Oryzias latipes: one gene and its partner. The protein of the gene in region 1 interacts with the protein of each later gene in a pairwise test. Links are inferred from orthologs where the notes say so. Each region holds a gene or a part of one and is shown on either strand. Other genes may lie near its edges.

Region 1 (4,761 bases):
GGGGGGGGGGGGAATATGACAAATCGCCTAATTTCATATTTTACCACAAAACGGCCACCAGGTCGTAGGTTCTGTTGCCATCCCATAATAATTGCAAAACTTCCCTTGGACATCCCCAATAAAAGGCACAAGACAAAGGAAAATCTTTTTTCTTTTGTCTTGTCTCCGTACAAATAAGAAAATATCACAAGGTTCAGGAGGAGAACGATCCGATTCTCCTTGTTGTTTTGTACCCTGCCTGCTGATCATCAACACGTCACGGGCCAAAGCGGAGTCCCTGATTGGTTGATGTGATGTGTATCTTTTGCAACAGCTCAGATATTTGACTTTTGTCATTAGTGAAGATTTAAATAACATTGTTTTGTTTAACACACGGTTGAGTGAAGAGTGAGTTCCCACCCAGTAACCAAAGATGCCGGTGCGCGTGTACGTGGCCCGTATGTCTCTGATGAACGGCACGTGCTCCAGTTTGGAGAAGAAGAGCAGCAGAAGGCCCTGCATTCTTATGGAAGACACCTGAAATGATAGAGAACCTGGATGGATCTGTTCCCGCTCACACCTGGAAGGCACCGTGCATGCGCCGGACCACCTGTACCTTCACACATGACCGCGGTGCCAAAGTGGACATGAACAGGTGACTCCAAGGGTCATCGAAGACCATATCCGACAAAAACCGAACTGGTCCAGAGTACACTTCCTGCAGGCTAAACAAAAACGTCACGAATGTCAGCCTGGTCTGATATTTAACAGAATGGTGGGGTCAGAGGTCACAATACCCGATGATGTAGAGGTCTGCAGGTTTTGATGAGTTCAGGTGGAGCAATGAGGTCACATCCTCAGGAGGATCTGCCGTGGCTACATTCCACGTCACCATGTGAAGCCTGAGAGGGAAGAAGATAAGGAATAGTGGTCACTTTCCAACCATAACCCCCTGGGAGATTCATGTTTCCCTGATCCAACACACCTGGTTCAGACCGTCACTTGAGAGCGACTCCTTCATTTAAATGTGTTGGAACAGGAAAACATGTAAAACAGAGCTGCCCAACCCTGGTCCTTAGGATGCCCCACCCTGCTTGGTTTCCCAAGTCTTCATACTGTCATGTACCTGGTATCTTCAGCCAATCAGAACTTTCCATCACCTGGCCCAGCCAATCAGCAGTAGGAAGAGCAGGAGAAAAACAAGCAGGGTGGCTGATCTGATGTAAACCTCCAAACCCCTCAAACTGTAAGGGGTTTGGAGGAAAATCTTTTAAAGTATTTCCAGTCTGACCTCACGCTGATCAGTTTAGGTTCTGTGGCTTCATTGTTCAGCTACTTAGCAATGTGGCCTTTGAAAGGCTCAAGCACTGAAAGCTCAAGTAGATCAAGAAATGAGAGAGCTAAAAGAGAACCAACAATTACCCCTAAAAAAGCATCCAATGTACAAAAAAAACGGAATCTCTAAAAAGAGCACACAAAATTTTACTTTAAAAACACTTTGGAAAGAGAGTCGGACTTAGAAGAACAGACAAAATGTGAGGAAAAGGGAACCAGAAACACAAAAACTTTGAACTTTAACCAAAGATAAATGCATCAGGATTCAGCATGAACGCTGCAACAACAGAACCTCTATAGTAATGATGGTCCAAGCAGGTCAGGCTGCTGCAGATAGTGAACATAAACTATTTCACCAAAGCATAGGCAGCTCAAAAAACTCTTCGGGAGGCTCTCGGCTACGACCAATCCAGTGGACAGTAAAAGTTCAGCAGACATTCAGCTCACAGAACTAGGAGAAGAAAACATCAGGCCTCTAAAAAACATGTCAAAAGTCAGAAGATTGATTTTCTCTCCACCTGAAGATGCGCTTTTTGGCCACCTTGGAGCAAGCAAGAAAGGCACTGTCCAGAGTCTCCACCATTTTCTCATGTAGCTCATTTTTTAGCTCCACGTCATCCATGCAGGTCATCAGCTGGCTGAGCCGGTGCCGTAGCGCCAGTCTGGTCCCGGTCGACTGCGTGGCATCGGAGGAGATGGTGTTGCTGCGAGAACGCCCTACAGAACCAAGGAGGCGGCTAATTTCATCCATTCTGATGCAAGATATGCAGAACAACCAGATGGGATGGGCTGACCGGTTCTGGACCAAACCAGTAGAAGAGTAAAAGGAGTCTGGAGAGCAGCAAGTCTTTTCAGAATCAAACCACCGAGCAGACTGAGGAAAACTCCAGGACTCAACCGTTGGGACCAATTAGGAAACGGGTTTGTTTGTTCCACAGGTGGTCTTTGTGTATTCATACCAGCTCTAATCTCATTGCAAAATGTCTCAACAATATGCCCATTAAAATCTGAGTAAAGTCAAATGTAAAAACCCAAGTCCGTCCCTCCAAAAGCGGCTGAGCGCTCAGCTGCTCCATCGTCAGATTAAGCAGTGAAATATTTTAATTTTTAAACTCCAAATCCACAGCAGGTATGCGATGTTAAGCAACATAATCCTCCTGGATGAAAGCCGTCATCTTTACTGATATGAGCTCTGCAGTGTGGATGCAGGAACAACAGCAACTTTTCAGAACCAGCAGAACTGCTCAGGAACCAACACGAATTCTAGTGAGGATTGGCTAAACAAAAAAATAAATTGCATCACTCCACATTGATGAAGACAAAGATAAACACAGAACCAAGTTAAAAAAAAAGAAAAAGGTTAAATATAAACAAAGAGACAAACGTCTGTGACTCTCCTGTGACTCACAGAACTGATGCAGACATCAGGAACTATTCAGAGAACAAATTTCCACTTTCCAGCAAAAACAGACTTTTTTTCAGTGATCACTGGGACTTAAAAAAAAAACCCTAATCCTATGCAACCTCTTGTGCTGAAAGATTTATTTGGTCCGGTGTCTTATAGACCAGAGCCGTTGCCTGTATATGAGAAATGGACTGAGACACCCCTCCCCTCTGGTGTTCCAAACAGGAAGTACCCGTTGGCTCCAAGAAGCCAAACCCATAAACGGAACGTATATATACAGGGGTTGACATAGCCCAGAAATTTGCACTGGCCCACAGGGCCAGTAGTTTTTGAAAGTTACTGGCCCGACACCGCGCACAGCGAGACCCGCCGCTCCGCAGGTGCTTGTAACTATAGGGGGGTCCGGGGGCATGCCCCCGGAAAATTTTAATATGGTGCAATTTGGTGCATTCTGGTGACATCTAACACTAATTTATACACTTTTCAATGACTGAAAATAGAGCATTATCAAACTTAAATCTGCTCTAGTCTGTTTCAGATGTTTTGAAGAGAGCACTGGAGTGAAGTAGTTAACACTAGTTAAGAAGTTTTCATGCTGCTTCTAATCACTGCTATTTCACATTTGTTCCTAATCAATAGTTAAGAAGTTTTATTGACTTTTTTGCTCTGACTGCCTTAAGGTTCTGCTTTTTGTTACTGTTGCAAAGTTACATTTACTTTTTAGTTACTTTAGTTGCTTAATTAAATTAAATAATTGAAAAATTAAATAAAATTAAATTACTGAGATCATTCAGCTAACTAGAAATACTTATTGCTTACAGTGTTGTAAAGAAAACCAAAATGAAGTAGTTTGACATTATACTGCCTTTGAGTCTGAGATTCAGGTATTTGGAGTTGCCTTTGATTCTTTGACATTCAGCTTAAAGCTTAGTGGATACAGTTTCATCTTCAATGCATTCATTAAATATCTTGCTGTCCATACTACTAATTCCACCCACTCCATCTAACATATTCCTATCTATTCCTGCCATGTCTTCCACATCTCTGACATGCTTCAGTCTCTCTTCAGTGACGGTGTTGGATTTATGATCATCGCGGTGAAAAACCACCAGGGGGCGCGCGCTGATATGTTTGTCAGTTTAAAGTGTGGGTGACATGGCCTATTTTAATAAGCCAAAATATAGTAAATAGTCTCTATTTCATGTTGCGATTGTATTTAATATTTTTCGAAAAAGAATAGCGAAAAACGCGATATAAACAACGAGGACGGCCGCCGGCTTCACGCATTCCGCCGACTTCGCGCCGCCATGTTTGTGACGTAACGAAAGGCAGACAACATGGCTAGCACCGATAGCAAAGCACAGAGTGATGCTACCTATTAGCGATTTATCATCAGATGAACAGAAAGATGAAGAGGAAAGTTGCGGAGATTATCATGATGATGAGTCACTTTTGCAACCGTATCGATTCGAAGCCTTTTGCGAAAGTGAGGAGGATATAGCAGAAAGTAGTAGGTCTAGTGATGCCGATGACGATAGCCAGCATGAAGATTCGGCTAGACTCCAGTAAGTCTAAAAAATGTATAAAATTAAATTACTCCACTTACCCTAAAATATACTCAAAATGTCCCCTTTTGGCCTAATCTAAACAAAGGTAAACACTGGTTTTCAACCCAATTTACAAAATAAATGTCACAAAATAAAAGTTTCCCAGATATTACTACTCTTTAGTTAACAAAGTCACTGTATACCATTAACAACTGTGGAACATTAACAGTTTTACCTGTTTGAACCAGTTTGAAACCTTTTCTCGTGCGCTCGCGCTCACACACACACACACACAGTTCAGTTTACTCACGGTACCGGCACCTCAAAAGCAAAAGAAAAAAAAACGTTGCAGGCCTGTTGCTTCTCTTGCAAAACATTGAGTGCGTTGAAATACTCCAGTTGGATCCAAGGACAACAGAAAACACGACTACTTCGCCTCAATGTGATCCATCGTGATGCACACTAGCTTAGCAGCCTCCGCTCCCGACTCCAGCG
Region 2 (4,335 bases), on another chromosome or scaffold:
AGAGCAATGGCTGTGTCCACATTGGAGGGCTGCGTTCTTTGTGGGCGGCTTACGTCACAGCGACAAGCGCTGTCCGAATTCAGCGACTCCTTCAAATGCAGCCGAGTACGTCCTTCTCTTTCACGATTTTAAGGATTGGTCTGGTGTGTCCTTCTACACTGCATATATCCCAAGATGCATTGCGGCCCAACTTGGACCTGTCCTGACAACAATGGCGGACCGTGAAGCGGGACCCAGAGTTGGAGATAATTACACCTTTTTAATAATTACACCTCCAAGATTAAAAGTTGGATCAAATAAGCAGGGAATTTTTTTAAACTCCATGCCTCCTCTCTTCTCCTCTCCTGTGCGGGACTCACGGTTGCTAGGCGACAGGACATACGACACGAACATATTAGGAAAGTGGGTGGGGTTAACAAAAAACCTGTTAAGGAAATCAAAAAAAGATTGCTTTTTGCAGATTCTTCCAACAATGACAGACAACCAGAATTTCAAGTGGTTGCCATGGAGATAAAACCAATAGAAAAGCTGCAGTTAATTTCTTTTTTTTAATGAATTTGTCGTGTGCTTCTCTAACCAGTGTGGCAAGGGGAGAATTGGGGGGCGGGTTGCAGTAGCTCAGGCTTCACGTGTAAAGGCTCATTTACTGGGGTTAATTTTTCAGTGAACATCCTTTTTTACAGGAAGTACAGCTTGGATGACCTTCTGACCAACGTCATGATCTACTGGACCACCGGCTCAATCGTTTCCTCCATGCGCTTCTACAAGGAGAACTTCAAGAGCGACCCCAACAGCAGAATCGATGGCCTGTATGCAAACACACACACACAAACTTTTACTCTCCAATCCTGACATTCTTTTTCAAAGCTGTTGATCCTCGTTATTCTGTGTTGTAGAACCGGGATTTTCGTGCCCACCGGTGTGGCGGCGTTTCCCAACGAGCTGATGCACTGTCCCAAATCCTGGGCTCAGATCAGATATCGGAACATCCAGTCCTACACGCTCATGCCGAGCGGCGGTCACTTTGCCGCCTTCGAAGAGCCCCAGCTGCTCGCTAAAGACATCATCCAGTTTGTGAAGAAAGTGGAGAAGCTGTAAATGCAGAGCAGGAGTCATGATGCTTTTGGTTTTAATTGTAATTCATCATTCTTCACACAAATATGCTTTAATCTTCTCTGCACCTGGTTCGCTCTCCTTGATGCTAGTTAAAAATCATTTTCAGTGAATAACGGATGTTAACTGTGTCCCGAGATATGAATAACAAAAGCAACGACTTTTGTCAAACCGTTCAAGTCTTGTTCATTAAAATGTATTGCACAAGCGGCGATGTCTGGTGTTTTCTGGAAATACCTGCATATTCTGTTCCCCACACAAAGACAAAACATTCTTTTGTATGCCAAAGGTAAAAATAATAATCAACACACATGCACATGAATGTCATGATCTTAATGCGAAAAAAAACAACCATTTTACTAAAATAAACATCCACTCGTTTATATTCCACACAGACACACATTCTGATGATCCAAATCCCTTTTAGTGTTAGTTGCTGAAGCCCTTAATAGTCACAGGTGCCTGGAACCAAACATAATCCTGCCAGTCGGCCTTTTCCCTCTGCTTCTCACAGACGTTGGGATCTGTGGCCAAAGCGATGATCTGGTTTTTGACCCGGGTGGGAATCTTGAATTGTAATTTGGGGCGAAACCAGTCCACGCCGCAATCCCTGTGAGCCAGGGCTAAAACGGTGGTGGGCATCAAGCGAACGGGTCTGGAGTCGGACAGGAGGTCGGCGACGAAGAGCGTGCGGAAGAGGAGCCTCAGGCAGGAGGACGCTCGCAGACCCTGCTCCCCGCCGACCAGCAGCAGGTCCTCCATGTTGATCTCGTAGAGCTCCTTCGGCAGGACGAGGGAACCGCCCATCATCAGTAAGACGCGCGGGACTCTGCTGAGGGAGAACAGCACTTCCAGCTGGTGGAGCACCTCCTCCAGCTCCTGAAGGGTCTGCTGACACTTGTAATCCACGTCTGCGGAGTGGACCTTCCTTGGTCTCACCACATCTTTATCCTGAAAAGAAACACCACAATTTGAATTTTCTATAAGAGCCACCGACGGCTGGAAATGTGCTTCTCACCTCCACGTCTCGCTGCTGCTGCCGCTTCTGGGAGAACACGAGCTGCTCGTACGTCATGGGGAGCTGCTGCCGCTGGTAGAGAACGCATTTGAGGATCTCGCTGACAAAACGGTAGCTGCCATCTTGGGTCACGGGGCCGGGGAAGATCACGCTCACGCAGCCTTCTTCCTTTGCTCTCCTCACCACCTCAGCATCCCTGTCCTGCGTGTTTGAGTGGCGTTCACTGGCAGACTCCTGACAGGAAGTGGCCTCCTCCTCTTCCTGTTGCTCTTCTGTAAACAGTCCATATCTGTTGCCAACATCACAGTAACCTGGTAGACATATTAACTAATTGACATATAGATTTATGTAAAGAAATCGATGGCTAAAATATAAAGGTTTATTTTAAAGCCAAATTATGCTAATTATTTAGCAGGAAGACCACATAACAGTCAGAATGAGATAAACGTGTTTCCTTTTAAAATTCTTCTAAACTCTTTCGACATTGTTACCTTGATGAATTTCTGTGTTTTCTTTGTCCTCTTCGCGCTGTTCAGAAGAGACATCGGTTCCGTTTGGGACCGTCGCTGACAGCTTCTCGTCAGTCGGTTGAGGAGAGTTTGAATCGTCAGAAAGACATTGTAAACTCAGGTCTAAGTACGTTAAACTCGGTTCTTCTCGTGAACTAATTTCTTTTTCGGAGGGAAAAGACAGTCGCCGCTTCACCCTGCTGTCTTCGCTGTTTGCGGCGGATTGATTTTCGGAGACTTCGGGATCTAGAGTCGTTTTTAGCACCAAACAAGGTTCCGCCATGTTTTTTTGAAAGTCGGCGCCTGCTCGGCTCTACCCAACTGCACCATGGGAAATGGTTGAAGTGGTGCGTTCAAATTTTTCGGAAAAAAATAGTTTAAAATGTTTTCTGTCTTGTTTACAAACGAATAATATAAATAATAATCATCATAGGATTTTGTATTGTATGTTTGACTGGCATACTGTAAGACATTAACTCTAACATGTAAACACATCATACTTTGACCACCAAAACAAAACTACAGAAAAATCATACCATTCAGAACAATATTTTATAAACTAAAGTACCACATATTTTATAACATTTCTTTTGCTAATGACAGATTTTTAAGTCGGGAAATCACACTGCAAATGCCACACTAAACAATGCTCAGTGCACCCCCTAGTGCCTGATTTGTGTAGTGCATCCAGTAAAAGTAGCCTTTCTTCCTCAGGTGTGATAATTAGTCGACGTTCACGTGGAAGAAGATTAATTCATTACCTTGAAGAAAACAGAAAGACAAGGGTGACGACCTGAATGTTTCATTCCTTTGAGTGGTTTTATTTTATCATGTCTTCCGTGCGCGTGGCTGTTCGAGTCCGCCCTTTGAATAAAAGGTAGATTTAAGTTTGCTTAAAAATTGGCACTACTTCTTCTTGCTCATGATGATTATTTGTTTTTTAACATTTTGTTTTTGAATATATATTTTTTGAGCTCTTCTAATGATAACTTTGTCAAAAAAAAGCTTTTTAACCCAACTGTGGTTGTTGTTGATGTTCTTAAAAATGTTTAGTTGATTGTTTTTGGCTTTTTACACAGGGAACAGCAATTATCATCCAAGAAAACGGTTCACATTAGGGGGAACACAATATCCATTCAGAAGGTATGGAATCACAAAATGATGCGAGAACAGTCTGTAGAAGTGAACAAGGTCAACAATGATCTGAGTTTTTGTCTGTTTTTATGTTAGTCTTCACCTGTGCGAGGGGAAAAGGTGAAAGACAGAGAGAAAACATTCTCATTTGACTTTGCTTTTGACTCCATGGACACAGAAAGCTCCACGTTTGCATCCCAGCAGAAGGTACATGTTTATTCTATATGATGGAAGATCTTCTGATCTTTATTTTAATTTTATTTTTTACCAAAGTTTGTGCTTGCAGCATATTTGTTCTTGATGCATTTTGTTTTGCTCAGATTTTCCAGGAATTGGGTTGTGGTGTGTTGAAAGCTGCATTTGAAGGGTTCAACGCCTGCATGTTTGCTTATGGGCAAACAGGCTCAGGGAAATCCCACACTATGATGGGTCTGAAAGTGAGTTTTTCCAGTATTTTCAGTACTTTGTGGCCTGCCCTGTGCAATGTGTTCATGTTTAAATATATATGGTATTAAGCAATAATAAGATGAATGTATATAATTTGAGAACATCAAGTTTTAA

The links. The genes of interacting proteins can lie anywhere in the genome.
Region 2: the proteins of inositol polyphosphate 5-phosphatase K (region 1) and mad2l1bp interact in binary tests that used the Homo sapiens proteins (3 or more experiments, as listed by UniProt). The link is inferred for Oryzias latipes from reciprocal best matches to the Homo sapiens genes INPP5K and MAD2L1BP.

The regions. Positions count from the first base shown.
Region 1 is NC_019871.2:19,609,522-19,614,282, forward strand, and holds the start of inositol polyphosphate 5-phosphatase K, read right to left. Parts: upstream 3,049-4,761; 5' UTR 2,066-3,048; coding exon 1,833-2,065; intron 882-1,832; coding exon 777-881; intron 705-776; coding exon 596-704; intron 517-595; coding exon 400-516; intron 1-399. UniProt on the Homo sapiens protein: Inositol 5-phosphatase which acts on inositol 1,4,5-trisphosphate, inositol 1,3,4,5-tetrakisphosphate, phosphatidylinositol 4,5-bisphosphate and phosphatidylinositol 3,4,5-trisphosphate.
Region 2 is NC_019873.2:27,031,357-27,035,691, forward strand, and holds mad2l1bp (MAD2L1-binding protein), read right to left. Parts: upstream 2,972-4,335; 5' UTR 2,924-2,971; coding exon 2,623-2,923; intron 2,404-2,622; coding exon 2,132-2,403; intron 2,065-2,131; coding exon 1,543-2,064; 3' UTR 1,113-1,542; downstream 1-1,112. Other genes in the region: epoxide hydrolase 1, read left to right, coding at 684-809, 897-1,098; uncharacterized protein LOC101165914, read left to right, coding at 3,438-3,517, 3,720-3,783, 3,871-3,981, 4,095-4,211. UniProt on the Homo sapiens protein: May function to silence the spindle checkpoint and allow mitosis to proceed through anaphase by binding MAD2L1 after it has become dissociated from the MAD2L1-CDC20 complex.